6 linked regions of the Coturnix japonica genome follow. The protein of the gene in region 5 interacts with the protein of the main gene of each other region in a biochemical or structural test. Links are inferred from orthologs where the notes say so. Each region holds a gene or a part of one and is shown on either strand. Other genes may lie near its edges. The genes, in order: KCTD17, PEF1, COPS5, DCUN1D3, CUL3 and DCUN1D5.

Region 1 (5,004 bases), on a different chromosome or scaffold from region 5:
TTGAATTACTTGCCTTTCACCCCATTGGCCTGGGGTGAGCAAGGGTTGGCTACAGATGGCAACTAACATTGATGGAAGAAGGTGTGTTCTGAATACAGGCCATTTCTGACCCATGAGCAGCTCTGGCATGGGAGAGATTGGAAAAGGCATCAAAAACAAGGGATTGTATCTAAAATGGAGAGAGAGACTGAGGGGCTGTGAAACAGGCTTGGAGGAAAGGGAGGCAATTTGGACCCTTTGTAGAAAAAGGAACAAAACAAAGGCAGGGCAGATTTCTTGGAGGGGAAGATAAGGGGCAGTAGGTTGCCACCTTCAACCGCTGCATTCATATCAGGGAGCCACAGTCCTCCCTTGTCTGCTGCAGCTGTGGGCAGAGCTGACAGGATCTCATATTCCTAACACACCAGAGTGTAATGCAAAGCTCTCACATATGCTGTGGCTTGACTCAGAGCCAGAGGTAGGAAGGAAACAGTCTCACAGCCCAGAGTTATGTTGTACTGTCTGATGCTTCACCTCAGGTTGGTGACAGTCTGAGCATCCTTGATGTCTTCTGCTGCTCAGAGGAGAGTGGTCCAGGGGCTGGGGATTAATTTATTAATGGACCTGCTCAATGCAAATAGGAAAATAAATAAATAAAAAAAGAATTACTCTCTCCCTATTAATAGTCACCATAGAGCTGGCAAGCTCTCAATGTAAATTAAAGGAGACCCTGCAGCAGATGATTTGTTCATGTGCTTAAATTAAACTGGAGGTCAGCAATTTCAAAACCTTTTCCTTGTTACCTTTGCTTTCCCCCCTCTGCTTTGCATTCCTGCACTGAAGGAGCAAAGTGCAGTTATACCATCTTTGTGAAGAGAATTCTGGGTAACTGGGGGGAAGGGTGATGCTATGCTCACGTTCTGTGATGATAAAAGGGAGTGATTTTTAAGCGCAAGAAAAGAGAGGATGAGGAAAAGAAATGTGAGTAAAGCACGATCTTTGTCTTTTTTCCACCCCCTCTCCCCCAGTAACTCCCGCCTGGAAAGACCCAAGATCTAGGTGAAAGAACGAAGCGTCCACAGGGCAAACGGCGTTCCTGCAGTGCTGCATTGCCCTGGCAAGGAGGAGCCACGGAGTTGTTTCAGGTGAAGGAAGACTTTGGGCCACATTCAGGTGAAGCGTCAGCTTTTCCTTTTCATCCCCAATGTGCCTGAGCTGCTGGCAAGCACAATTGTGTTTCAGAGGGAGAGGAAAAAGCAGAGCTGCTGGAGAAATAACTTATTCAGGTCATGTCCATGCCAAGGAGTGCATTTGAATGGAGTCCCATGGGTATGAGCTGCCGAGCTCCATGCTTGACTTGGCAGGAGGAGTGGCAGAGGCAGGGCTGTGCTCAGCAAGGAGCAATTGACACATTGGTATCAGCATGCGGTATGCCTGAGGCAGAGGTGAAGATCCATGCAGGGCAGGGTTAAAATCTGAGCTCTTTGCAGCCAAGACAACATCAGAGCTGGGAAATAGCTGGTGGTCTCTGGAATGGTTTGTGACTGTAGAACCATACAGGGAGGAGGGGGGTGGGGTTGGGGGGAGGGGAGAAGGGGAACATTTGCTGAATCAGTGACTCTTCTGAGTCAGAAGAAAAATTGTTCCTGCCCCCCTGCCAGCACTTCGTGCAGATCCAAGATACCGTTCCCAGAAGAGTCCCTACATATGTTAGCAAGAAGACAACTGCCTGCACATTTTGCAGCAAGAACAGTGTAGCAACTGATGCAGCGCTGTGCTGTGAGCCTGGGGTAATGTATCTCCTGGAGGGAAAGCTGCGGAGAGCAGTGCTGATGGGCTTAGTCTGCTGACTGCCAGAGATCAGAGACCTTCTTTCTGACTCCAGGGACGCTTGCCTGCTAGATTTGCAACTCAAAGCAAGCAAATGATTAGCTGTAGTTTCAGGGTAATGTATTACAGCATCCCCTTGTGTGGGGACAGCAGGCTGGAAAAACTACAGTTCCCAGCACCCTTTTGTGCACATCCCTGCAAACTACAGTTCCCAGAACCTTTTCATGAGCCGGGGAGGGAGGGTGTACGTGGAAGTAATTGCTGAGGAATTTTGCATCGCTCCCCATACTTTCAAAGTGCTGCCCAGCCCTCGGTTAGTGAAAACCGAAACGGAGGAAAAGCCAAGGAGCGTTGAGACAGTGGTTTTACCCACCCCTAATAACTGCAGCACTAAGCATCCTTCTCGCCCTGGAGTCTCCCTGGGCAGACGCAGGGAGGATTCTTGCCCCTAAGGGAAACACGGCTGCTGCGGAAGGAGAGCAGACTAACTACAGATCCCAGCATTCCCTGGCAGGCAGCACCTGCGGCAGTCCCTGCGTGCCAGGGGGGATGAGGATGTGGATGGAGGGCGGGGAAGAGATGAAGGGCGCAATGGGGCTACGCTGCGGCTGGGACCCACCCCCCATTGATGCCCAGGCCAAGTGGGTGAGGCTCAATGTGGGGGGCACCGTCTTCCTTACCACCAGGCAGACCCTGTGCCGGGAGCAGAAATCTTTCCTGTGTCGCTTGTGCCAGGGCGAGGAGCTGCAATCGGATCGGGTAAGGCAGCTGTATTGCCTCCTGCACCATGCCCTTCTGAGCACGGGGAGGGCTGCAGGGCTGGAGTCAGATCCCAACAGCTGTAGGAATAACCCAGAGAAAAATACCTTCATTTTCTCCCCTTATCCTAGCGAGAAACTTCTCTTGCCAGATACTTCCTGGCTGTGTTGTAGCCCAGTCCCCTGCACCCCTGCTGCTCCATCACCGTGTATACCCTGAGGGTACTCCCCAGATGTAGCAGCCTGACTCAACCCTTTTTTCACTTCGAGGGATTTCAGCTTCCTCACACCAGGCCTGTACTTATAGTTGCAGGAGCCTGAGGTCATGCTGAGATGGACATTCTGAGCATAATAATGCAGGAGTTAATATCTGAGTGAAACTGTCTTGGCTATAGTCTATTATAGAGATGTTGCAGGTAGGTGCAGGTCAAGATACCCCGTGCTTTTCATCTCATGGTCTACCTCTTGTTGATAGGATGAGACTGGTGCATATCTAATAGACCGGGACCCTACTTACTTTGGGCCCATCCTGAATTTCCTCCGCCATGGGAAGCTGGTCCTGGATAAAGATATGGCTGAAGAGGGTGAGTCTTGGAGCTCAGAAACTTACCACTTAACCATTGCTGGAGCAGCACAGTAGGGTTTGTAGTTGACCTCCTTGTCTTTTGTTATCCTTCTGAAGATTGGTGTGGGAGATTTGAGAAGGCCATCCTTGCAGCTCTTGGAAAGCATGTTTCCTTCTCTAAGTGGGAATGGAGCAGGTGGAGAAGGGATCCTGCATATATTGAGTCCTTATGGCTGTTAGTTGAGCAAAGGTGTCACGGAGATGGAAGCAGACTAGGTCTCTCATCCATGAAAAACTGTTTTATTACCTGTTCCTGATACACTTTTAACCAGGCTTTGTGACTGAGGTTTGTACTAATGACTGAGTGTTTCTAATTAGGAGTGAAAACCCAGAAGACCAAACAGACCAACTGACTGTAATAAACCCCATAATTAATCAGTGACACGTAATGTATGCTAATAGTGCTCTGATGGGTTGTGGACTGCAGCAATTCCAGTGGAGCAAGCCAAACAAACCAATCCCTCATTTGATGTTGACAGGGAGTCCAATAGGATAACTCAGTAACATCATCATGGTGTTACGAGCCAGCGATCCCCAGTGCCTCATTATTTTTTGGATGTTAGGGACTAACAAGCAGCCAATTTCAAAGACAGGCTGTGCTGTCCAGCCCTTGCCAAGCACAGTTTCTGCAGGTTCATTAGCCTTCTTGCCTCCCTTACATATTTTTACCAAGGAGTGTTTTATTCAGAATCATTTTATGACTTATAATGCAAAAAATATATATCTAAGAAATAGTACAGAATTGTAATAAACACCATTCAGAGATGTTTCTTACTTATCATTGGTTGTCACCCTCGTGTCAGACAGAGTTCAGCCGAGGCTTTTAACACCAGATCTGAAACGTAAACAGGAGTTCTTGTTCTGTTCACAGCTTTCTTTTGCTCCTGCCACAGGACAGGCTGGCATGAAACCAACCTGTTAGAGGGTATGGCTGAATGGCTGAATGAGGGACTTATTCTGAGTTCTCAGGTAGAGAAGGATCAAACCCATACCAGCATTGTCTGCACGCTGATCTGGGTACCCATGAATGTCGGTTCCTGGCCTCCTTCCCCTCACTAACCCACTGAGAACTCACCTCCCTTTCCCTGATGGCTTGTTAGCAAGCAGTAGTATCTCAGGAGGGGTGAAGGATGCAGATACCATGCAGAAAACTCAAAACAGTTCTCTGTTTGCCTGCTTTGTGATGAAGCATGGGTGAGAGAACCAAAGACTGAAGTCATACAGGGATGCAACTCTAACAGGCCTGGGAGGAAGGATGAAATTTTCTTTTGCTGGAGAAGTCAGAACAAATTGCGGTTCCCTGCCTTCCAAAGAGGGCTGGAACAAAACAAAAACTAGTGGTCACTGAGAGCATGGATCCTACATTTATTCTCCTTGGCCTGTAATCTGAAAGTTGATTTTGGATTCTCAGGGAAATCCTCCTCTTCCCTGGGAATATAGTAGCAGACCTTGGTACCAACCTGCACTGTTTCTGTAGTAGTAGGCAGCATAAAGAAGTTGGGGTGAGCAGTAGAACACAACATGAGAGCCAGTTCTCAATTCTCTGCGGTAAAGGTTTCAAACCTTTACCGCAGAGAGCAAGTTCTGAGCAAGGCTTGAGTATCATTTCATCCAAGGGTCATAACTTAGGGAAGTGTATTTAGAGTTGTTTTTTTGGCTTGCAAAACAATCTGGCTGTTAACTTTGTGGTTTCTCTGTCATTCTTTCTTAGGGGTCCTGGAAGAAGCAGAGTTCTATAACATCGGCCCTTTAATCCGGATAATTAAGGATCGACTGGAGGAGAAAGACTACACAGTGACTCAGGTATGGTTG
Region 2 (5,018 bases), on a different chromosome or scaffold from region 5:
TGATGGTAAGTTGGGGGGGCAGCTCAGGAGCAGGAGCTTGAGTCCAGGGCACAGAGCCAGGGCTCAGTGGTTGTGTCTTTTCCATATCCCCCCCCCAGGGTGACGTGGTGAATTACGACGAGATCAAAAGGTTCATCCAGCAGGAGATTAACAAGATGTTTGATGGTAAATGGGGTGACAACAGGGACAAGGGCTGGTGCCCCTCCAGCCCCACACTGAGCCGCCTGTCCCCGCAGAGCGCATGGCGTACTACACATCACGGATGCACTTCCCAGTGGAGATGGTGGCAGCCCCGGGCAGGCCGGGTCCCCCTGGCAAGGATGGGCTGCCTGGACGGCCGGGACCCCCGGGATCCCCAGGGATGCCAGGGCAGATCGGCAGAGAGGGGCGGCAGGGAGTGCCAGGCATGCGGGGTATGTGCTGCCCACTGACCCCAGGTGTTGGGGTGTCCCCTATGGGGTGTCCCCTGTGGTGGGGTTTCACCATTCACATCTCTCCTCCAGGGGAGCCGGGAGCCAAAGGAGAGAAAGGGGAGAAGGGGATGGGGCTGATGGGGGACAGTGGCCCACCAGGACCCCCAGGTGAGTTCCCATTCCCTCTCTTCATTCCTGATGATGCTATATCAGCTCGGTTCCACCATTGCTCTCTTTGCCTTCCAGGTCCCCAAGGCCCACCAGGCTATGGGAAGATGGGTCCTCCAGGCCCCGTGGGGCAGCAGGGCATCCCTGGCATCCCCGGTCCCCCGGGTGCCACGGGGCCACCAGGCAAAACAGGGCACTGCAGCCCAGCGGACTGTATGGGAGCTCTGCCCATGGAGCAGCCAATCTTCCAGCCCAAGAATGCCAAGGGCCCCTTCGGCTGAGCCGGCCCCACTGCGCCCCACTGCTGCTCTTATTCTTGCCCCCGTTTTCCAGGGGGCTGCGCTGGTCCCGGGGGGGGGGGTTGGGTGCTGTTTGGTTCCGTGGGTGGGTGGGTGTTGTAGGGCAGGTGGATCCTGCCCAGCCCAAATACAGCCGTGCTGCTGCCCCACATCCCCACTGCTCGTGTGTGGTGTCTCATCTAAACAGCCCAACCCTGTGTGTGGGGCTGAGCTCAGCGCCCTGCTGCGGCCATTGGGGTGGGGGGGTTGGGGTGATGACATGGGTGATGGCATTGAGATTGGTGATGGCATTGGTGATGGCATTGAGATTGGTGATGGCATTGGTGATGATGGTGAGGCCAATGATGTGATACTGACAATGGAGATCATAGAACATCCCCAATGGGTCCCATAAGGAGCATTGAGTCCAACTCCAGTGGTGATGATGATGATGATGGTGATGTGATGGAGATGATGATGATGATATGATGATCCTGGGTCTGATGGGAGAATCCCACCCTAGTGCCGGCACTGTGATGCCCTGTTGTGTTCCTGTCCCTCCTCCTGGGGGTCCCATTCCCCGACCCCAGCCCCTCCTCTCTCGCAGCGCTCAGTGGGCCCCACCCCGCTGCCATCGCCGCTTTAAGCCTCTCCATCACATGCCCCATATCACCATGGGGAGGGCGGGACTTCCGCTCTCATCCGCTATATTTGACCAATAGAAGCCGAGAAACGCCAGTGACAAACGGAAGCAGGAAGTGCGGGGGCGGAAGCAGGAAGTGCGGGGCGGAAGAGGAGACATGGCGGCGTTCCCGGGGCAGGCCGGGCCGTACAGCGGAGCCCATTATGGCGGCGGAGCCCCACACGGGGTGGATCCCGAGGCCTTGTCGTGGTTCCAGGCTGTGGACACGGATCGCAGCGGCTCCATCTCGGTGAAGGAGCTGAAACAGGCGCTGCTCAACAACAACTGGTCGGCGTTCAACGACGAGACGTGTCTGTTAATGATCAGTGAGTGCAGGCCGCGCCTATGGGCACAGCGAGGGGATAAAGGGGCCATGATGCCCCCATTGCCCCCATGTTAAAGGGGCCATGCTCCCTCTATGTGCCCTTATGTTAAAGGGGTCCATGCTCCCCTCATTGCCCCCCATGTTAAAGGGGTCCATGCTCCCCCTCATTGCCCCCTATGTGTTCTCCTTCCTTCCTTCCTTGCAGACACGTTTGACAGCAGCAGGTCGGGTCGGATGGACGTGTACGGCTTCTCGGCGCTGCTTCGCTTCATCCAGCAATGGAGGAGCCTGTTCCAGCAATACGACAGGGACCAGTCGGGATCCATCAGCTGCACTGAGCTGCAGCAAGGTGGGTGAGGGGGGGGGGGACACAGCTGGGTTACACAGGGAGCTCTGACTGATTGATGAGCATTACAGCCCAGCAGTGAGTCATTGAGGGTCTCTAAGAGCATCTGGTTCAGCTGAACCGCGTCCCTCAGTGCCACATGGCCACCCCATGGATGGTGACTCCATCACTTCCCTGGGCAGCCTGTGCCAATACCTGATACAGCCCGTGATACCCAGGGGACCGGGGATGCCAGGGGTGCCCTGCTGCCCCACAGGGCCTGGAGGACCCATCTTCCCATAGCTTGGTGGCCCTTGGGGACCTGGAAGGCAAAGAGAGCAATGATGGAACCGAGGTGATAACATCATCAGGAATGTAGAGAGGGAATATGTACCAATACCCGATCGCTCTTTCAGAAGACATTCCATTCCTAATAGCCAATCCAGAGACCCCCCCCCCCCCCCTTCCAGCCCCCTTCCTGCTGTTCTCTCTGAGCTTCCAGGTGTCCCCTGCATCGCATTGAACCAGCCGTACTGTGAACTTCCTTAGGGAAAGCCCTTTTTTGTTGCCCTTCCCGATGGCTGGCATGTGTCTCAGCCCTGTGTTCTGGGAGGAGCTCCTGGGTGTGTGCGTCACATGGAGGGGAAGAATGTCTGGAATTCCCGCCTGGATTTGGTTCCTCCCTCTCCATAACCCTCCCTGCACTCAGCTGCTGATAGAAGCCCTTCAGGAACACACTGTGGGGAGGGCACTGTCTCCCTCCTTGCAGGGCTTTAATGTGTGTTTCTCACTCCCAGCATTCTCCCAGATGGGTTATAACCTGAGCCCCCAGTTCAGCCAGCTGCTGCTGTCCCGTTATGCCCAGAGATCCTCCAACCCCAGCATCCAGCTCGACCGCTTCATTCACATCTGCATGCAGCTGCAGAGCCTGACAGATGCCTTCCGTGAGAAGGACACGGGGATGGTGGGCAACGTGCGGCTCGGCTATGAGGACTTCCTCACCATGGTCATAACACGCATGTTGTGACACACGAGGCCAAGGGGGGATGGTGGCTGTCCTGGTCCTGGTCCCTGTCCTGTCCTGGTCCTGGTCTATTCCTCATCCCCAGTGGATGGCGGTGGGTGCCTCTGTGCTGCAGCAGGGCTTTGCTGTGCCACAATGAGTGACAACCAAACTAAGAGTGAGCCTGTGCCATGCTCTGATCCTCTGCTGTGGCTCTGGGGACAGCTCTGTGCCTTTGGGAGCACCTGGATCTTCCCCTGCCAGCCACAGAGTTGTATCAAAACCCAGGGTCACCTCATGCTCACAGGCAGGACTGGGTCCCTCGTTGCCAATGTCTGTACTGATTTCTTTCTGCCTGTGGAAGCCAAGCTTGGAAACGGTTTACAGCTTATTTTTGTAGCTCTAATAAAAGAGCCCTGGCAGCATTTCCTGGCTGGTCTGTGGGGCGATGGCTGCGTGGCTCCAGGGAATGAAGTGCTGTCCTTCTTCTGAGATACAGCCACAAAAGTGAAGGCCGACACTGAAAAGGTTCGGGTTGTTTTTCTTCCCTGTGCTCCTAAAATGATGGTTGTGGGGTTGTTCTTTTAATTGCCTTTGATGAGAAGCAGCACCCTGACCATTGTGTGACAGCTGAGTTTCTTTGTTCAGGGTAAGGGGGTGTTTTATGAACGAGTTAAAACGTTTTCTGGTGCTCTGAGGAGAAATAACAGCGCTGTTATTTGTCTCAACTTTGGCCCCAGGTGGGACTTTGTGAGCACTAATAACAATTCCAGCAATATTTGGAGTTCTGTTCTGGTGAGTAAAGTTGGTTCTGCTCTATTTTTGGAGCTGACTTTTGTGCTGTTTCAGACAAGGCTGCAGCTCTGGCCAGCTGGCAGCAGGCGCCCAGCAGGGGCTGTGTGGGATCACACACACCTCCTGTCTGCATGCACTGATATACCTGCATGTGTGTATTAATAGGGGTGTCTGTAGGGACAGATGTATAGGTAGAGGTGCGGGTGTTTCTATATGGTGATCCATACGTTGGCTGTAGGGCAGGCTGCAGCCACCAGGTGCCGCCCCACTCCACGTTGGGGCGCAGCCAGAGCTCAGAGCCGAGGGAATGCAAAGGAAAACAGTGAAAACAGTGGGAATGCAAAGAGAAAGTGCCCAGCCAAGGAGCCAAACTCAATGCTGAGGGCTGCTCTGCTCCCGTGAGTGAACATGGGATGGATGTAGGCGCAGAGCTGAGCACGGGAACTCAATGGCTGAGAGCTGGGCTGCAGCTGAGCTCTGGAAGGTTTGATTTCCAGTTTATTTGTGCAGCTTAGAGCTGCACGAAGGATCTCAGACCGTGACGTTTCCTCATTGCAAATGATTATCTTTAAAGTAGTTTTAAAGGGCCGGTGCTGGTAATACTGATGTAGGTGAACCTGCTTTAGCAGGGGGCTTCCACCCCCTGTGATTATGTGATGTGGATACAGATCTGAGCACAGACATGGGGTGGCACAAGGTTAAGAGCCTGGGGACAGCCCCCATCTCCCCCCTGGGGCTGTTGGTGTCCCTCCCCAACCCAATCCCTCCCACCATCCCCTCTCCCAAAGCTTTACCCCCCCTTTTCCCAGCACAGGGACACTGTGCTGGCCGTACATCTGCGCGTGCCTGCAGCCCCTGCAGCCTGTGGCCGAGGTCACACAGTGCCAGCAAAACAGGAAAGCAGACAATGTGCTCCTTATCAGCCCTGTGCAGCACTTCCAGGTGCTGACCCTGCTCCGGGATGGGGAGGGAGGCTGAGCCTGCTCCTATAAGGATGGGGCTCTTGGGGCAGTGGGGCCACGTACCCAC
Region 3 (4,387 bases), on a different chromosome or scaffold from region 5:
TTATTTGTTGCATTAGTACTGTTGATTTTGTGGAAAAGCATGTCCTTTTTCAGAAGATCTTCTACGGGGGAACAGTTTTAAAGATGAGGTTTCTTTTAACCTGGTTGAAAGAGCTAGCAGTTGTTTAACTTATAAGGAATAGTGCTTTCTTTGGGCAAGGAGTACAAAGTCAGATGCAGATTTAGCAGCAGGGCTGCTCTTCTCAGTAACAGCAACTGTGGTGCATACCTTTATACTGTGTCACCGTTAATGTGGCTGCAGGTTTTCAATCATATTGTTTCTTTCCTTGGTGAAGTGGAGCTGCTTCAAACGATAATATCAGCAACAGGAAGAATTACTGCTTTTTCTCTCCTGATGGAGAGAATACATTTCCATGTATTTTAAAGGCAGTTTAATTTTAACCATTCTCCTAGCACCCTGTCACTTGTTCCTCGCTTCATACATACATGTACTTACATGGAAAAGCATTTGTTTTGCCAGGTCAGTCCCCTGATCTGATCCAATTTGCAGCAGTACATATGTTCTTGCTGGTTAAGCTAAGGTAGAGGCAGATGATGGAGATGCAGTATTTGGGAAGATTCATAGAGTAGCTTGGGTTGGAAGGGATGTTAAAGACCATCCAGTTCCAACACCCACAGGCAGAGTTGCCACCCACTAGCTCAGGCTGCTCGAGGCCCCATCCAGCCTCACCTTGAATGCCTCCAGGGATCAGCAAGAGAAAGATGGGATTGCTCCTTCCATGCTGGTTTTGATTCCACCTTCAAGTGTTTGACGAGCCCTGCAGTTTAAGGAACTGTGTACAGAAAACTTCTGAGATCTCACTGACACCGTGTAGGTTCATGGATGTGATGTAGGCCGTTGCCTGTTTTTTTTTCCATGGTTTTGGTGCATGGATATCTATTTGTAGTGCATTTATAGCTGCATGCGGAGTTGGACTCTCAAGATATCAAGAAATTATTACAATTGAGAATTGATTTTCCTATCCAAACTGAGAAAATTCCAGAGCAGTGGCTACACAGAAATCTTTTTAGTAATGAATCTGTCGCTTCAGAATAGTGCTTGTATGGACACTGCCCATAAACGTTGGTATATATTAACGTATGAGTGGAAGGTGTGTTTTATCTTTATTTGAAGTGGTCAGTTTGGGAGAGTTCATTTGCTTATTTGGGGGTTTTGCTGTGGGATTTACTGTTGGTTTTTTGTTGCTTTTTTTCCTTCTTTAAGTTGGCAGTGCTTAATATTTACCATCATAACCTTCATCTCAGGAAGCTGGCTTATCGTACAAGCTATTTCTTGCCATCCAAAGAAAATATTTTCCAGTCTTCCCTAGGGAAGAAACAGCAGTTAGGGAAAAAGATGGAATTTAAACTGGAATTTTGGCACATTACTGAACTACTGATTGCAAATGATTAGAATGATGGCTTCCTCTCAGTAGTATGGGTAGTTGCACTACAGATTTAAAATGTAGCCAATTTGAATGATGGTCCTCTCTATTTGATAGTCTAGTCACTACTAGTTGTTTCATAGTAACAGTAACTTTGCATAGAAATTAAGCAATGATATGTTTATTGGTAGCTTTCTGAAGAGTTTAGTGATCAAAATAAAATCTAGCATAACTTGAATGTTGCTGTAATTCATCTACACAGAGCTCAGCTTTCTGTCTACGTAGTCAGATCTTATGAATTGCGTAGTACCAGCAAAGTTTGACTTTAAAAACAAGTATGGTATGACAAAATTATTTGTCCGTTAGTAACATTTACTGCTATCAAATGTTCCTAATTGAATTAGATCACAAAATTAGTGATCTGCTATTAAAAAATTACAGTATTGAAGAGCCATAGAATCACCAAGGTTGGAAAAGACTTCCAAGGTCATCTAGTCCAACCATCCTATCACCGATAGTTGCACTAAACCATGTCCCTCAGTACAACACCTTAACACTTCTTGAACACCTCCAGGGTCAGTGGATCCATAGCCTCCCTGATCAGCCCATTCCAGTGCCTGATCACTCTCTTGGAGAGGAAGTATTTCCTAACGTCCAGCCTGAATCTCCCCTGACACAACTTGAGGCCATTCCCTCTAGTCCTGTCACTAGTTAGATGGGAAAGGAGGCCAACCTCCACCTCACCACATCTTCCCTTCAGGTAGTTGTAGGGAGCAGTAAGGTCTCCCCTGAGCCACCTCTTCTCCAGACTAAACAATCCCAGTTCCTCCTACCACTCCTCATAAGTCTTGTGCTGCAGACACCTCACCAGCTTTGTTACCTTTCTCTGAGCACACTCCAGGGCCTCAGTATCTTTCTTGTAGTGCTGAGTACAGAGGGACAAGCTTCCCTTCTCCTACTAGCAACGCTATTTCTGGTACTAGCCAGAATGCCATTGGCCTCGGCCACCTGGACACACTCCTGACTCATGTTCAGCAATGCATTGTCTGATACCCTCAGGTCCATTTCCTCTACAGAGTTTTCCAGTCACTCTGCCCCAAGGCTGTAGCACTGCCTGGGGTTGTTGTGGCCAAAGAGCAGGACCCAGCACTTGGTCTTGTTGATCCTCATCCCGCTGGCTTCAGCCCAGTTATCCAGCCTGTCCAGATCTGTCTGTAGGACCTTCCTACCCCCAGGCAGATCCACACTTCCTGCCGACTTGTGTTATCTGCAGGCTTACTGAGGGTGCACTCAATGCCCTCATCCAGGTCATCGGTAAAGATATTGAACAGGACTGGCCCTAGTACTGACCCCCAGTGAAACCATTTGTGACCAATCACCAGCTGGATTTAGCTCCATTCACCATCACTCTCTGGACCTGGCCTTCCAGCCAGTTCTTTACCCAACACGGTGTACCTAAGCCATGGGCTGCCACCTTCTACAGGAGAATACTACAGGAAACAGTGTAGAAGGCTTAGCTGAAGTCCAGCTAGCAGCCTTTCCCTCATCCAACAGGCAGATCACTCACAGGAGATCAGGTTGGTCAAGCAGGACCTGCAGTTGATGAACCCATGCTGGCTAGGCCTGATCCCCCATTTGTCCTGCTCATGCTGTATGATCTCCCTCAAGATGATCTGCTCCATAACCTTTCCCAGCACGGAGATCAGGCCTGTGGTTCCCTGGATCCTCCTTACTGTACAGTGCATCATTGGATTGTACAACAAGCATTTACAAAATTAACAGAAACACTTGCAGTCTCTTAAATAAAACAGCAGTATGTATAGGGATTGTGTAAACTTTTATTAAAGCTTTATATGAAATACTTGCAAAACATCTTGTAGAGTTAGAGTTAGAAGTGAAAGTAACTTTTATTGTTTAATACCTTGAATTTCTGAAGATATTTGCCACTAATAAAGACTTTTTCAGATGGATGTTATTTGGGTGTTAGAGCCAAACAAGATATATTTATATGGAATTTTGTTGTGTGCATATTTGTTTTTAAAGGTATTATGCATTAGAAGTCTCTTACTTCAAATCATCTTTGGATCGTAAATTGCTTGAGCTTCTGTGGAACAAGTACTGGGTGAACACTCTCAGCTCTTCTAGTTTGCTTACTGTAAGTACCATAATGTGCATAAATATGTATAAATGTTTGAATTCATAGCTTAGAACTCAGAAAGATAATTGTTTTCTTTCTCCTAAGAATGCTGACTACACCACTGGCCAAGTCTTCGATTTGTCTGAAAAATTAGAACAGTCGGAAGCTCAGCTTGGACGGGGCAGTTTTATGCTGGGTTTAGAGACTCACGATAAGAAATCAGAGGACAAACTTGCTAAAGCAACAAGAGACAGGTAAGACAATGAATACATGCATTCCTCCCTGAAAAGTGTTAGTTTTAAACTTTAATTATCAAGTCCTTAGTAGTAACTAACCAATAAAATCATATCCTGGAAGGCTATGGATAGGAATGAGAGGCTCCAGATATGACCAGTTCTTTTTGAAAGTTTGAGAAACACTTGTGTAAAACTTTCATTTAAAAATTAAGAACCGTTGAGGTTGGGATAGGGTGGGAAGGGTGAGAACCTTCGAGCATTGATAAAAGGCAGTAGCTCTCTTCTCCTGGACTGCTGGGGATTTTGTTGTTGTTCAGAAGACTGCAGAGCTCACTTTCTGTCGTTAACATAAGATGCCCTACATTGCTAACCAAGTTCCCTGGAATTGGCCTTTGTGTGTCTAGAGCCCATCAGTTTGCATTCAGAGCTATTGGCAACAGTGGCTGAATTGCAGTGTGTGACTTTTCTTTTCTGGACAGTTGTGAAGATTCATGGGGTTATGGGCACCCTGAACTTCCAAAACAGCTGAATATCTTTAAATAAAATGACAGTTTAGTTCGGTCTTTAGCCAACATTGAATTTATGCTTGTTTTTCAGCTGCAAGACCACCATAGAAGCTATACATGGATT
Region 4 (4,860 bases), on a different chromosome or scaffold from region 5:
CCGTAGTTTTCTGGCGAGGCCCCAGGTGACGTGGTAGCAAGTGACCAGAACAGCTTCATTCACAGCTGTGCGCACAAACCACCTGCACTGCAGTCCCAGCACATCACAGCTGAAACGATGGGTTATGAAATTTCATCATGGGATTTCAGGTATATTGGCTTAGAAATCTTCCTCAGCTTTTCCTGATGTCGGAACGTACGGCCTTGTTTCTGGGCAAGGCCCAAGGGAGGCAGATGGATCTGGAATAGAAAATCCCAAGTCAGGTGCAAATAAAGATGCTACAAAGAAAAAAAAAAAAAAAAAAAAGAAGCATATACAGACAATTTTATTGAGTTTCAATCACTCGTTCACTCATTGGAGAGGGCAACCATGCTGTCTGAAGCCAGGTTATTAGATTTCTGTGCAAAGAACTCTCTGAAGAGCAATTAGTGGAGCGACTCTGCAGCCTTAAACATCAGGTTTAAGAAAACCCTGCATACTTGAGGTTTTGTTAATTCTGGTCTGCAATCTGAAATCAGATTGTGACGATAACATTGTTGAAATATGCCTGTAAGCAGTATTCCAGAACAGCAAGACACAGAAATCCTGTTAAGGTCCCAAGCTGAAGTCTTAAAGCAGCGTGCTGATGATTTTTTCAGAGCTCACCTGGCTCTGATTTAGCAGAGCACCTGAGCAGAGGTGAGATGTGTGGCACAACGACAGTAGAATGGATCTATGATTTGAGTGTCAGATGGGAGCTAATAAGGTGCACCTGTGGGGAACAGACATACTCACGGGTCTCGGGTAGGGGATGTTGTAGTGAAGTCCAATTTCTATTCTTGCCTCACATTCTTCTATGCACTGCTTAATCAGCTTCGGATCTGTCACCTAAGATAACAGAGAGCTAAAAATAAATATTTTGCACAAGTACAAAAATCAGCATTTCAAGATTCAAGCTTTTTTTTCCCTTCCTTTTGCAGTTCCAAGGATACAATGATGGTGTTTTTCACATCTGCACTGCTGAGCTCTATGGCTCTGAGTAGCAGCGCCCAGAGGCTATCAGAATTGTGAGAGCAGAGAGTGCTCTTCGAGGTGACGTGCCTGGCCTTCCACAGGAGTTTATGGAGACCTCAGAGGGTTTGAATTTTCTTACAGATTTTGACCCCTGAAATAATAAGCTGTAACTCAAATATGCCTTAGAATGTGTTTGTACTGGCATTTATGGGGAAGGAATTTTGGGAAATCATTTCTTATTTCCATACCTTGGCATCCACCCACTGGGGGTGAGCAAAGCACAGTGAAAGGGGTCAGAAATTCAAACCTGCAATGACGCTCACTCACATCTTTGTTTTTTCGGAACAACGTTTTGGCTTCTTTTATAATGTACTCCCTCTCTGCAGCAGTTTGTTCCACCTGTCCTGATGCCGACTGCCATTTCTTGGCTATCCGGAATATCTTGCGGTAAAGGCCCAGCACCTCTTGTCGTGTGACTGCTGTCATCTGAAACAGACCAACCCCACAAGAGCCCCAGTTTGTGTGAACGACCACCACGTGTACTGCTTTTAAACACAATTCAATGCTTAAGAGCATCTCCACCACCTAAAGAATGAACTGAAATAGCTGCTGAAACCAGAAGACCCAGCCAGCAAAGTATTGGCACTGAGACTTAAATCTGCCCCATGCAAGCAGCCCGAGCTCCTGCTGCAAGTCAAGCACTCGATGCAGTGCTCTGCTGAATGAGAACCAGCTCAGGACCGGCCGTGCTTTCTGTCACTGCTGTTTTGCAACACGCAGCGTTGGGCGAGTCACCGAAACTCGGAGGAGTCTCCGCTGTGTTGTAACAGCGCTGCCCCGTCTGTGCTGTGTGTCCAGACCTGGAATCACGCACACGATGACAGCACTGGTGGGTGGTGGTGGGTGATGGTGGGTGATGGTGGGTGATGGTGGGTGATGGTGGGTGATGGTGGGTGGACTGCGGTACCGGTGCCAGGTGCCGAGCAGCTCGTTGGCCGTGCGATGATTCCGAGGTGCTGACTGTGAGCGAGGGGGGTCCTGAGCGCCCCGGTCGTTGTGGCGCCGTCTGCCCGCTGAGCCCGCACCAAGAGCCGGCGTCAGAAACGAGGCCCGAAATGCCGCTGTTGTGTGTACGGTGCGATCTGCCCCTGCCGCCCGGGCCGGCCTTACCCGCAGCGGCGGAACCAGCGCCGACCTCCCGCCCGCAGCGCCCGCGGCACCTCCGGGCACAGGCTCCCTCCAGGCCGCGCTCTCAGCCCCGCACCGTGCCGTGCCGTGCCGTGCCGTGCCTCGGTCCCGTGCCGTGTCCTTTCGTGCCTCTCCCCGCCCCGCTGCTCCCGTTCTTCCCCGCCCTGTGCCCTCCCGGTTCGTGCTGCGCCGGTCGCGCCGCGTGACGTCACGGCGCCAGCTGACTGCTGGCCCGGAAGTGATGCGGAGGGACGCAGCCTCGCCGGGATCGCGGTGAGTGCCCCGCGGGGCCGTGCCGAGCTGTGCCGTACCGAACCGAACCGTACCGTGCTGTGTCGTGCCTCGGTCCCGTGCCGTGCCGTGCCGTGCTGTACCGTACCGTGCTGTGCCGCCCCCGGGGACGCGGCGGGCCGGGCCGGGCGTCAGCCCCGTGCGTGTCCCTCGGCCGCCGCTGCCGCCTTCCCCTGCCGGCGGCCCGTCCCTTCAGCCCCTCGAGCTGCAGCCGCCGCTGGGCCCGGCCCGGAGCCGCGTTGCGGGGCGGCCCGTCCGTCCGTGCGGAGCTGCAGCCCCGGAGCCGCAGCACGAGCCGTGGGTCGGGCGGGGCCGGGCGCCGCTGGGGGCTGCCGCCATCCGTCCGAGCCGCCCCCGGCGGTGGCCGCTCCGCTCGGGCGGTCTCCGCACGCGGCCCCGGCGCTGCAGGTGAGTGGCCGGCGGACTGAGGGAAAGCCGGGCTGAATGCAAGGAAGCGCCTGGATCGGCCCAGGAGCCGGTTCTGCGCCGTCCGAACGCACCCGCTGCGGGTTCCGTTCTCCCTTCGGCTCTCGGTGCCGCTCTGAGCACGTTACCGGGCCGTGCCCGCAGTGCTGCCCCGGCCCCTGGGCCTGCAGCCGCGCGGCTCCAGGGGAGCGTTGCTGGGAAGCAGAGACAGTGCTGGAAAAAGCCTTTTATTTCTTACACTGTAAGTAGTTAATGGTGCTATCCTTCAAAGTGTTTCTTTGATAACTGATGAGTGGGAGCCCAGCTACTCACATACAGCACTGATCCACAGCTGTAACTTCACTTTAAATGATACCATCCATAGTATAGTTTGAAGGGAGGGCAGGCAAAGTGCTCAGAAGGGCCGAGCTGTGGCCCCAAAGTGCAGAACTGGCTTGTGGTTCCTGAAATGTCTGTCAGGCCTTTGTATCAGACTCCAGTCCTTGTGTGTTCTTTCTTTTTTGGGGGAGCCATTGGTCAAAAGGCGTCTCTTGTAGGCACACACTGCTCATATGCCCGAGAACCTCTTTGCTAAACAGTTGATGTGTGACTGAGATCTTACTGTTTTCTTTGGGCTGGCAATGGAAAGAGGGAATGTCTGAGGGCTGCTGTTCTTTGAGTGCTTCTGAACTCTGCTGCATGTTTTCCTGCTCTGAGGAGTTCCTCTGAAGGACAAACAGATACGTGTGAGCATGGAGAGGTCTGGCTTTACCTTCTTGTCAGTTCTAGGGTTCGTCTTAAACCTTACACCTCCTCTGCACACGTGCTAATGGTGTGTGGGAAGGCCTTGTAGCCCTTTTAGTGACAGGCAACGCGCAGCCTGAAGCAAAGACTCTGCACATCAGCAGAAAAAGAACTTGTGATCTGTGTGGAATTAGTTCATGCCTGCAGAACCGGCATCATGAATTTGCTGCATCTTCTCTTGGAAGGATTTCTGAAATTCTGATTGTTTTCTAAAATCAAGTTTTATACCAGCACAAATTAGGATAATCCTTAAATAATTTGGCAAAACTATTAACAGAAGAGTACACAGCTCAATGTGATACTTTGAAACCACTTTCTTCTTGAGACTGATCACCTGTGATATAATTCGTTATCTGCTGAGTTAGATGCCTTCCCTGCTGCTCCCTTACTGTGTTTTTGAGTTGCACATTGCCATGTTCATAGAAAATTTTGCCTCACTTGTTCTTATTGATCTTGGAAATTCGTTGGTAATTATGTCTTCTATTTTGCATGGATAATACAAAAGGAAATCAGATGAATTGAAAGGCTGATTTTTGAGGCAAAACCCAGAAGAGCTATTTTGGAAGTCATTAGTTAAAATTAGATAAAGAGCTCTGTACTGAGGAAGGGAAGCTACCAAACAGTTTGACTGACTTCTAGCACAAAGGGGTTTGTTGTGGTGGATTTGCATGTGGATGAAGGTGAGGCTCCATTCCACCAATTTCTTTGCTTCTACTTGAGGACCATGTAGAAAATCGTATATGTTCTGTGGATGTGTGCTGGGCAGGGCAATGTAAGGTAGGGAGGAATGGCAGTGGAAGAAAAAGGAATAGAAATGACTACTCTAAACCTTCAGACGTTGTGAAGTTAGATTTGCTCATGGCAGAAAATGATGAGTTTGGATATGGACAGATGTATGCCTGCGAGTCAGCAGGAAAGTGAGTATCCCAGTACTGCTCAGAAGTGCCCCATGCTGATGTAGAACCTTGGGGCACTGCAGACACGCCCTGGGGCCTTGGCTGTTTGTGTGCAAAGTTGTAAGATGCAGGAGCGCTGTCTTTGTTCCATCAGGCACACTGGTCTGTGGAAATGAAGGTCACAGGAAAGCTCGTTGGAGTAAGAAGGAGCTGTAAAAATAAAGGTATGCGATGTTAGGAAAATAGTACTTTCTTTTGTGCTCATCCTTAGAAATAAAAGAGG
Region 5 (4,387 bases):
ACTGAATAGGGAGGTAGAATAATTGTTATGCTTAGTATAGATTTATATAACAACATTTCATGATACTTGCTCAGGTTGAAAGGGAGTGAACTTTCTAACATGGGTCCAACAGGAGCCCTTTTAAACAATTTGCATTAGCTGTTGATAAACTTTGACTGTAATTATTCTTATTTTGGCTTTACTTCTGTTCAGCTAATGATACTATTTCAAGAAGCCTCATTAAATAATGAGGATGAACTGTGAAATCGAGCGATGGAATTATGAGTGGCAGATAGAGAAAAAATAACTTTACAGAAGATAAAGGATGTGGATGGAAGGGAATTAAGTAGATACATAAAAAGCTTTCAGATTATTCTATGATTTTTCTGAATGTTTGGGGGCTCCCCTACTCTCCAACTGAAAAAGTGTCAGGGGTTGTGAATTTGTTCTTGCTTGGCTTAGTTATAAATGCTGTGCTTACGGTCTTAAGCAATATAGGCTCCCTATTAAATAAAGTTTTGGTAAATTGGTCTGATCCTGAGGTTGCTTCCTTTTAATAATGAGAAGAAAGGGGATTCACTTGATTATATGTGTACAGCACCAGTGTGACTGGTCTCTTCCATTTCTGAATAACCTGGGCATGATGAATTCAAAGTGTCTTTGCTTTGTGTGCCTTCATTGTAGGACCGTGTCTACGTACAACAAAATAACGTGGAGAACGTCTACAACTTGGGTTTGATTATTTTTCGAGATCAAGTTGTACGTTATGGCTGTATTAGAGATCACTTACGGCAAACTCTGCTGGATATGATTGCAAGAGAAAGGAAAGGAGAGGTTGTAGACAGGTAAGATGTTTGTAAGTGACTGTCTGCTGTTGCAAATGACACTTAGCAATCCTTGAGTGAATCACAAATGTGCACAGCTAAATCATTACTTAAGCGAAAGTTTCTTCATAACATGGAAAAAACCCCACATTTTTACTTTTTAGCAAACTTAAAATAATGGTAAATGGATACACTCATTAATACATTTCTAATGCTAATCTTGAGATGTTTATTGAAGTTTTTGTTAAGTCTCTCCGTTACCACCTTCTGTCATAGCATTCTATTATAAAGCAGAGGTTTGACAGTTCTCTGCCCCTTGTTGTCGTCCTGCTTGTCCTCTGTACTGAGAGGCTGCTTAACTTTCCTCTACCTGCTTTATTTGATTTTTGAAGTTATCTTTTAGTCTTCCATTTCCATTCCTAATGTTTTAACCCAGTTCAGTTATCTCTCGGCTTTAAAATCTGTTCTTCATGTTCTCTTGCCATATTTGTGGAAGTGGTTTGACAGCATGAGCTTCAGATGCTGCATGTGAAGTAACTCGAAGTTTGCAAGTTTTTTTGCGTTTCTCCAGTTTCAGAACAGCTGTTGGGTGTGGAGATATGTAAACTTCATGCTACTTTGGCTGCAGTTCTGTAATTGGGATTGCCCAACATACAGTTTATGAAGAGAAAAATACATGTTGGCAACAGCTGTATATTGTCCCCTGCTGCCAGAAATGAAATTTTTTCATAGATACAGTTCTTTTGTTTTTGAATGTTATCAGCATGTTTATGCCTAAACAGATGCTTAAATTGCAGGTGTGTTTTCATACTCTGCATGGCACCATCCATCTGTGCAACTGTCTTGTTTACTACTAACCTACACATGCAGTTTTCAGTGTTCCTTGTTTATTTTCCGGTGTGGAGAAATATATTCCTGTTAATAGTTTTCAGAATTGGTAGAACTTGAGATCTGCTTTCCTATTTAAAATATTATGTGTTGTCAGCTCCTTAGTTTTAAACAGTGATAGTCTTACTGCCATCTGGAAAACCTCTGGTGCAACAAACAGATGTAGGACAGACTTTTTATTAGTACATTTTAAGTTAAAAATTGTTATTTTGCTATACGTACTCCCTGTGTTATGTTGATTTCTGAAGTTGTTAACAACTTACTTTTGGCAGAGGCGCAATAAGAAATGCTTGCCAGATGTTAATGATTCTAGGTCTTGAAGGAAGGTCAGTCTATGAAGAAGACTTTGAGGCTCCATTTTTGGAGATGTCTGCAGAATTTTTTCAGGTACAGCAGTCTTGTAATTACCCTATTTGGAATTCTCTTGTAATTGCATGGAATCATAAGAGTTAGTGGTACCTTAAGTAACTACTGTTTATTCGACGAGTAATGTCAATCTTTGTTAAATGAAATAAGAAGTGTGACTAACTTTGAGGAAAAAGAAACACTTATTTCACATAATTAACATAATTTAACTGTGAGCATTGTCATTCTTAAGAATAATGAGAAAACCATTGATGCATATAATTCGTAAATATGACATAGACTGGTATTTGAAAAGAGATTTTACTTTTTGCTTCTCCCGTCTTTATTTTCGTTGGACCTGTAGCTCTAACTCCTGTTGGTCACTGGATATTAGGCTGATTGTGCTCACTTTAGCATGGAGAATACCACACTTATATTCATGTACCCTCAAACCTACATAGCACAATGAGTGTAGTAGAACTTTTATTGTGTTAAGCATATATGTAACTCTTGGAGGTCTTGCTTGTTGGATGTGCCGGAGTGATTTAACTTGTTAATGAATGCTGATCTGAAATAACCAGTATATTTCATTTTTTCCTCCTTAAAATACAAGAAGTCTAAAGTATTAATTTGTGTTAATCACAGATGGAAAGTCAGAAATTTTTAGCTGAAAACAGTGCTTCTGTATATATAAAGAAAGTAGAAGCTAGAATTAATGAAGAAATAGAACGGGTGATGCACTGTCTGGATAAATCAACAGAAGAGCCAATTGTGAAAGTTGTTGAGAGGGAGCTTATTTCCAAGCATATGAAAACTATAGTGGAAATGGAGAACTCTGGGCTAGTTCATATGCTGAAAAATGGGAAGACAGAAGGTAAGACTATATCATATGGGAGACAGAAATGCTTACCATACTGCTTGTTGTTTTTAAACATAGGATAAACTGAGCTTAACTTTTGTGTTCCTGTTTGGCTTTCTTTTGCACACCTCTGCAAATGGTACTTCAGAGGATTTAGAGAGCTTTTAGGACACTGATTGTATATAGAACTTGTTTCTGTTTAGTGCCAAATAATGACTTGGTTTTTTGTAAGCTAAGCATTTCTTAAGAATAAATATTCACCTTTTGTGCTGTGCTTGATTACCTGCTCTCTGTGAGCCATTTTATTGCTTTTGTGCCTACAGTGTATAGCTTTTAAAATGCATCACTGTTTTGTGGGGTTTTTCTCAGGGGGTGGTGCAGTATAAAAGTGATAGAGTAAATGACATGGAATTGCATGATTGATTTTTTTGGGGAAAAAGGATTTACTGCAGGAAAAAAGTGTTAATTTTAAAGGATGAAAAATATTTTCTAAGTGACTGAAAAAGAAGGATTTGGTTTGGTAAGGTTTTCTATAGTGTAGGTTACTGTGAGACAGCAACTGAATGCACATTTTTATAGAAGGAGAACCTACACTTCTGAAACAGTGTAATGAAGAGTGATTGTAGTACCTATTTTTAGAAATCAGGCTTCATACTAAAACATCGAGAATGGGAACAGACTTACTGTTTGGATAAATGGCTTTTGTTCCTTGAAGTAGCTTCATAATTAGGTGGTAGTCAGAGTGATAAAGTGAGCAAATTTCTTAGCTGTAAGAAAAGAGCATTTCTGTATGGAAAGATGATACTATACTTAACCTTTTTTCATTAATATCCAATTAAGATAGGCTTCAGGGTGAGAGGACAAGGATATTGAAGGGCATTTACAACATACAAGAATTAATATAACATTTATAGGCATTGGTTTAATATAGCTGTGAAGTTTTTTACATAAGAGGTGTACAAGGCTTCCTCTTCAAAAGCCATCTTTAAGCTAAGTCAGTTCTCCTGATTTTAGGTATATGAAACAAAGTAGTGAGAATTTATGCAGTTATTCCTTTAAGACAGTATAAATTAAGTTCAGCTAAACAAATGCAAATTAAACTCATGTTTTTACTGGTTTTGTGGGTTTGTTTTTTGCTTTATAAAAGTATCTCATTCATATTGTCTTATTTGTTTTAACATCATATTTGATTTTGGGATGGTAGACTTAGAAGATACATTCTTATAATAGCACAAATAAAAGGGATTTTGGTGAAAGTAAAGAAAAGGGGGCAAAAGTTTCCATCCAGTACCTAAGCTGTTACAGGATGCTTTTGTCTCTCGAATGAGTGAACTCTTCTGCTGTTTGTTGTCTTTTGCTGTGAAATGGATGAGTTACAGAGGGCATCATGCATATCATCTCATTCTTTTCTGCAGACCTTGCTTGCATGTACAAGTTGTTTAGTCGTGTGCCGAACGGTCTGAAGACAATGTGTGAGTGCATGAGCTCGTAC
Region 6 (4,387 bases), on a different chromosome or scaffold from region 5:
TCATTGAGTCTTCAGCTCCTTTATGAGTGTCACATATGAGTGACCAGATGCTTAGTCTACAGCCTGGTACTAGCACAGATTGCACTGTTTTGCTTCCTCTGAGTAACTGTTTTAGGCTTAGGTAGGTGCTTTGATTACATCTGTTTATGTAGAAATGCACAAAAGTAAAGCATACACTTTTTGTCTTAAATGCATTACATCTATAGCAGGTTGAACTCTATTCTTAAAATGAAGATTTGGTCCTAACTACACTAGATTAGTGCAGACAGAAAAGTCTACAGTATTCAGAGTATCTCTAAAGAGCTGCCGTACTCAATACATATCTGTATTGGCTCTGAAGTGGTGCCATACTCCAGTGCTTGCTTTCTGCTAGACTGGTTGACTTTGAAGCCTTTTAGTTGATATAAAAATTAAGGTCTTCATAGAACTGACTTGTAGTCATTTACACAGTACATTTAAAAATGTATACAGTTTAACTGAACGTGGTATCACAACAAGTCACCCTTGAAAACATTAATGAATTGCAAGGTTCATAAATAACAAAACAACAGCTGAGTCAAGCCTCACCAAAAGCTCAGTAGTTACACAAATGAACATCTCTTCAGCATTAACAAAAATAACCCTAGTCACAGAAGGATTTGGGAAATCTACTTACAAACTGAAAAAGCATCATTCAACCTAAGCAATTAAGAATGGCTTCTAACCTGTACCTAGCAGACAACAACAATAACCAACAGATTATCAAAAATAGTTCTCATCTATGAAGCTTGGATATCAGTAACCAGCTTCTCAAAATACCGGTGCTGAGACAGAAGCATATCTGAGGTCTCCATGAACATGTGTATGATAACTGATACTTTAACACGCCATCAAGACCTGATTACGATAGACAAAACTTTTAGTGAAGTCATCAGATTCCCAATCTGATGAAATACAAAGTTACCTCCAGCTGGTGACTGAAACCAGACCTAAAAACCAAGAGTTTCTGTGTCTTTCTGCCAATGTGTAAGAAATAGTGGGCAAGATTCATTAAGCTACAGGTACAAAAATTTAATAGAATGTTCAAATTTGATATGTAAAAAACAAACAAAAACCCTCTTACTGTAATGAGGTCATCCCCTTTAACCATTCTTCCTTGGTAAAAAATCCCATGCTTTCAGCCTCTAGCTTCCAGGCTAAAACTAACATAATAATCTGGTGGAAACAAACAAGGGGAAAAAAACGGAGTTAGTATGTGAGAAAAAATTGATTTCCAGATTTCTAGTTTTCTATGAAGAAAACTCCAAGCATTCAAACAAGATACGCAACTCTTTGCTTACTGAACTGAAGAGACATACACAGAACTAAGTCTAATCCGGTAAAAGTGTGATTAGTATTGTGAAAGAAACCTACATTTTCAGGCTCAACACCAATGTCTTCGCAGAACTTTTCCATTCCTTCAGGCCCCACAACATCATCAGGACCTTCAGAACCAAAAACAACAAACCAAATTGAAACAGAAGTAATATTCAGTGAAATGTATATTACATTTGAATTACCACACTTCAAGGAAGAATTATACAATATTTTATACAAGCTATTTTTAAAAACACCGCATTACTTTATCGATTAGATTTTGTATTAGAGCCATTCTATCAGCTGCAACATGCAGACAGGTATGAAATACTTGTCAATGACATAACCATGAGGACCAAAAGAAAAATGCATATGGAATTGCTGTGAGCTGCCCTCCTAGAACGGCGCACAAACTATTTTACTTCACTTATGTGGGTTTTCAGAAGCATCCACTGAGCTTCACATAGACAAAGCTAAACTCAGCGAGTATCGTCTCTGCCCTATGAATAATGTTCTTCAAATAGTACTTCACAAGCACAAAAACACTACATCTGTCTGACTTACCATTACACATCCTACCCCTTCAATAGTGTTGCCATTATGGGTTTGCACTAACATAGTTATTATAAGAATTGTTATCTGCCATTAACCCTTTATGAATGAAACAGTATAATAAATCTGAAAAAAAAAAAAAAATGCTAGGCAAAAAGCAGTAAAAGCTTTGACTACAATGAAAGTAATGTAGCTGAGGCCAGAACAGACGATATTATGCTGTTACCTTTCGCTTTTAATATGAAGAAAGTCTAAAAAGGCAGCAATAGAGTGTATTTAAAGAGCACATATGGACACACTGCAAAATGTATCATTTCCCCGAATCCCTCTGGTTCCAGCTATTTCTGCTAAGCCTGTTCCAAAAACTACTACTTGTAGGCTGCCCAATATTATCAAAGGACTTGCTAGCATGCTATTTTGTGCACCATTGGGACCTTGACATTAACACTGTTTTAATGGATATAAGCCCATGTAAAAGGCAAAGGCTGTGTACCCCAAAACAAAATACCACAGAACATTTTGGGCAAATGCTGCTACTTCAGAAATCAGTAAATAATAAAAGGCTGCTCTGTCTCTCTGTTTAAATTACAAAAAGATACAAGGTGTGGCATATTTCGATTACTGGTTAACTAACAATTATGTTTCCATACAATGAATTCTTGATTCAACAACAATACAATGTATAAGCCTTAGCAAATTAAAGGCATTTGATTTACTTGCACATAAGAAAATTAAAAGCACAGAGAGGAAATCTTCCACAGGAAAGAGTTCAAAACAGTATGCCTCAAATCTAATGGAGAAAGCAATTACTAGAATCAAGACTAGTTCATTACTCTGGAAACAATGTCAGTACGGTATTGGCTTTGAATCATATATACTAAACCAATCCCTGGATGACAAAACACCACCTCATTTCACATTGAGAACTGAGCCAATAAACAGTTTTAGTCACCAATTAGTTACAGTGGACTTCAGTGACTACGTCAGAAAAGATACTGATCACAGTTTACAGATACAGAATTTCTAGTCACATGATTAGTAAACAAGCTGCAACAATTGTTTAGTAAGTGCTGCAATATACATTAGACATTTACTAAGGCAGCTACTACTTGGGTAGCGAGTTAATTTTTTCACAAGAGGGTACTTCTAGTGTTTGTGAATGAGACACTGGTTATTTATGACACCAAATATGTTAGCACAGATTCTCAGCACAACCAGTACAAGCACCTACCAGCCTTTACTAAAAGATGAGAACACAGAGCTTAAATCATTAACTGTTATTCCATTATCATTCTGATCTGGTTACAAACAAGATCACTGGAGAAATAAATTTCTATCTAAATGCCCACAGTCCCAACTTCTACTTGTCCTTTTCTAATCAGCAGTAGAATCCCTCAGTTCAACACTGTATACCATGCAGCATCAGTTATTTTATTTTGAAGAATGCCATGGAAAATTATAAAGCACAGAGAAAGAGGAGAAAAACAAAGTCAGATAATCCCCGAGAAAGTGTTAGTAAGAGCCATATGAATTCATGTGTATATGGACATACCTATATTTCCATGAGGACATAAAGCAAAACACAAATAATATTTGACACATTGATTTGTTTTAAACATTTTAAGTATGTATACAGTGCATATTACCTGCATATTCATGAAACCATGCTAGGCACTTCTTGCTTGAAAAATGCTCCTCTCCACTTATTACTTTACCAGGGGTTTGTGACCTGCAATAGCTTATAGAAACAGAAGGACACGAAGTGTTATTTTAATATGAGAAATGGGAAACCAGTTATATTCTGTTTATTTTTACTTGCAATTAAGTCAACTGATTCATGAAAAAAGCTTAATTTAAGAGGCAATTGTCAGTCGTGCTATTGCAACACTCACTGGAACAAGAAATTACCTTGAAATGCAACCTTACCTTAGTCTGACTTATCCCAGCTGTTACTTTTGCTGAGATGCTGAAATACTGTTACCTGGTAGATATTAAACCAAAAATCCACATGCAGATGTCTGAACCATCACTGCTCAGTAATTCAAATGCCTTATCTACTTATATAAGACTTTAACATTGGTTTCTACTAAGCAGCATGATCTTCAGTCAAGGGTGCTGAAGATGCACAGATCCAATTTAGGTCATCAAAAGCTGTAGAGTTTGACATATTTAAAAGTCAGACCATTTATATTTAGGCACCCAAATCTGGGAAGAAAACTCGGTCAGATTGTTTATATTAAGCATGTAACTAAATCTCTAAGTTCTATGGCTGTTTGGCACAGACCAGAATAGTAATATACAAGCTTTGGAAAGACTCCAACTGCAGTGCACAGACAGCTCCCACCCCCTACATTACCTTCCTTACATGGCACAATTTCCTGTTCACCTAGGAGGTCAATTTTTGTAACTCGCCTTTCTTTGAAGGAATGTACAACATAACTGATTGTTTCCAGTAAAAACACGACACGAAAACATGAAGACAGGATGGAGTTATGGCACC

Evidence for each region.
Region 1: the proteins of CUL3 (region 5) and KCTD17 form a complex in vitro, tested with the Homo sapiens proteins (3 studies listed by BioGRID). The link is inferred for Coturnix japonica from reciprocal best matches to the Homo sapiens genes CUL3 and KCTD17.
Region 2: the proteins of CUL3 (region 5) and PEF1 form a complex in vitro, tested with the Homo sapiens proteins (2 studies listed by BioGRID). The link is inferred for Coturnix japonica from reciprocal best matches to the Homo sapiens genes CUL3 and PEF1.
Region 3: of the proteins of CUL3 (region 5) and COPS5, one has a biochemical effect on the other in vitro, tested with the Homo sapiens proteins (2 studies listed by BioGRID). The link is inferred for Coturnix japonica from reciprocal best matches to the Homo sapiens genes CUL3 and COPS5.
Region 4: the proteins of CUL3 (region 5) and DCUN1D3 form a complex in vitro, tested with the Homo sapiens proteins (3 studies listed by BioGRID, with this or other methods). The link is inferred for Coturnix japonica from reciprocal best matches to the Homo sapiens genes CUL3 and DCUN1D3.
Region 6: the proteins of CUL3 (region 5) and DCUN1D5 form a complex in vitro, tested with the Homo sapiens proteins (2 studies listed by BioGRID, with this or other methods). The link is inferred for Coturnix japonica from reciprocal best matches to the Homo sapiens genes CUL3 and DCUN1D5.

The regions. Positions count from the first base shown.
Region 1 is NC_029516.1:47,001,892-47,006,895, reverse strand, and holds the start of KCTD17 (BTB/POZ domain-containing protein KCTD17), read left to right. Parts: upstream 1-1,576; 5' UTR 1,577-2,358; coding exon 2,359-2,568; intron 2,569-3,042; coding exon 3,043-3,151; intron 3,152-4,903; coding exon 4,904-4,995; intron 4,996-5,004. UniProt on the Homo sapiens protein: Substrate-adapter for CUL3-RING ubiquitin ligase complexes which mediates the ubiquitination and subsequent proteasomal degradation of TCHP, a protein involved in ciliogenesis down-regulation.
Region 2 is NC_029538.1:4,368,843-4,373,860, reverse strand, and holds PEF1 (peflin), read left to right. Parts: upstream 1-1,545; 5' UTR 1,546-1,659; coding exon 1,660-1,867; intron 1,868-2,071; coding exon 2,072-2,215; intron 2,216-2,988; coding exon 2,989-3,218; 3' UTR 3,219-3,922; downstream 3,923-5,018. Other genes in the region: collagen alpha-1(XVI) chain, read left to right, coding at 1-5, 99-165, 237-413, 504-581, 660-862. UniProt on the Homo sapiens protein: Calcium-binding protein that acts as an adapter that bridges unrelated proteins or stabilizes weak protein-protein complexes in response to calcium.
Region 3 is NC_029517.1:104,428,945-104,433,331, reverse strand, and holds part of COPS5 (COP9 signalosome complex subunit 5), read left to right. Parts: intron 1-3,427; coding exon 3,428-3,539; intron 3,540-3,626; coding exon 3,627-3,775; intron 3,776-4,354; coding exon 4,355-4,387. UniProt on the Homo sapiens protein: Probable protease subunit of the COP9 signalosome complex (CSN), a complex involved in various cellular and developmental processes.
Region 4 is NC_029529.1:12,708,982-12,713,841, reverse strand, and holds the start of DCUN1D3 (DCN1-like protein 3), read left to right. Parts: upstream 1-1,776; 5' UTR 1,777-1,882; exon of another isoform or gene 1,883-2,157; intron 2,158-2,163; exon of another isoform or gene 2,164-2,284; intron 2,285-2,367; exon of another isoform or gene 2,368-2,454; intron 2,455-2,888; exon of another isoform or gene 2,889-3,139; intron 3,140-4,860. Other genes in the region: LYRM1 (LYR motif-containing protein 1), read right to left, coding at 123-239, 775-867, 1,321-1,569. UniProt on the Homo sapiens protein: Contributes to the neddylation of all cullins by transferring NEDD8 from N-terminally acetylated NEDD8-conjugating E2s enzyme to different cullin C-terminal domain-RBX complexes and may play a role in the cell cycle progression by regulating the SCF ubiquitin E3 ligase complex, after UV damage.
Region 5 is NC_029524.1:6,977,437-6,981,823, reverse strand, and holds part of CUL3 (cullin-3), read left to right. Parts: intron 1-663; coding exon 664-824; intron 825-1,963; coding exon 1,964-2,078; intron 2,079-2,681; coding exon 2,682-2,910; intron 2,911-4,310; coding exon 4,311-4,387. UniProt on the Homo sapiens protein: Core component of multiple cullin-RING-based BCR (BTB-CUL3-RBX1) E3 ubiquitin-protein ligase complexes which mediate the ubiquitination and subsequent proteasomal degradation of target proteins.
Region 6 is NC_029516.1:163,126,347-163,130,733, reverse strand, and holds part of DCUN1D5 (DCN1-like protein 5), read right to left. Parts: intron 3,626-4,387; coding exon 3,534-3,625; intron 1,464-3,533; coding exon 1,393-1,463; intron 1,195-1,392; coding exon 1,103-1,194; intron 1-1,102. UniProt on the Homo sapiens protein: Contributes to the neddylation of all cullins by transferring NEDD8 from N-terminally acetylated NEDD8-conjugating E2s enzyme to different cullin C-terminal domain-RBX complexes which is necessary for the activation of cullin-RING E3 ubiquitin ligases (CRLs).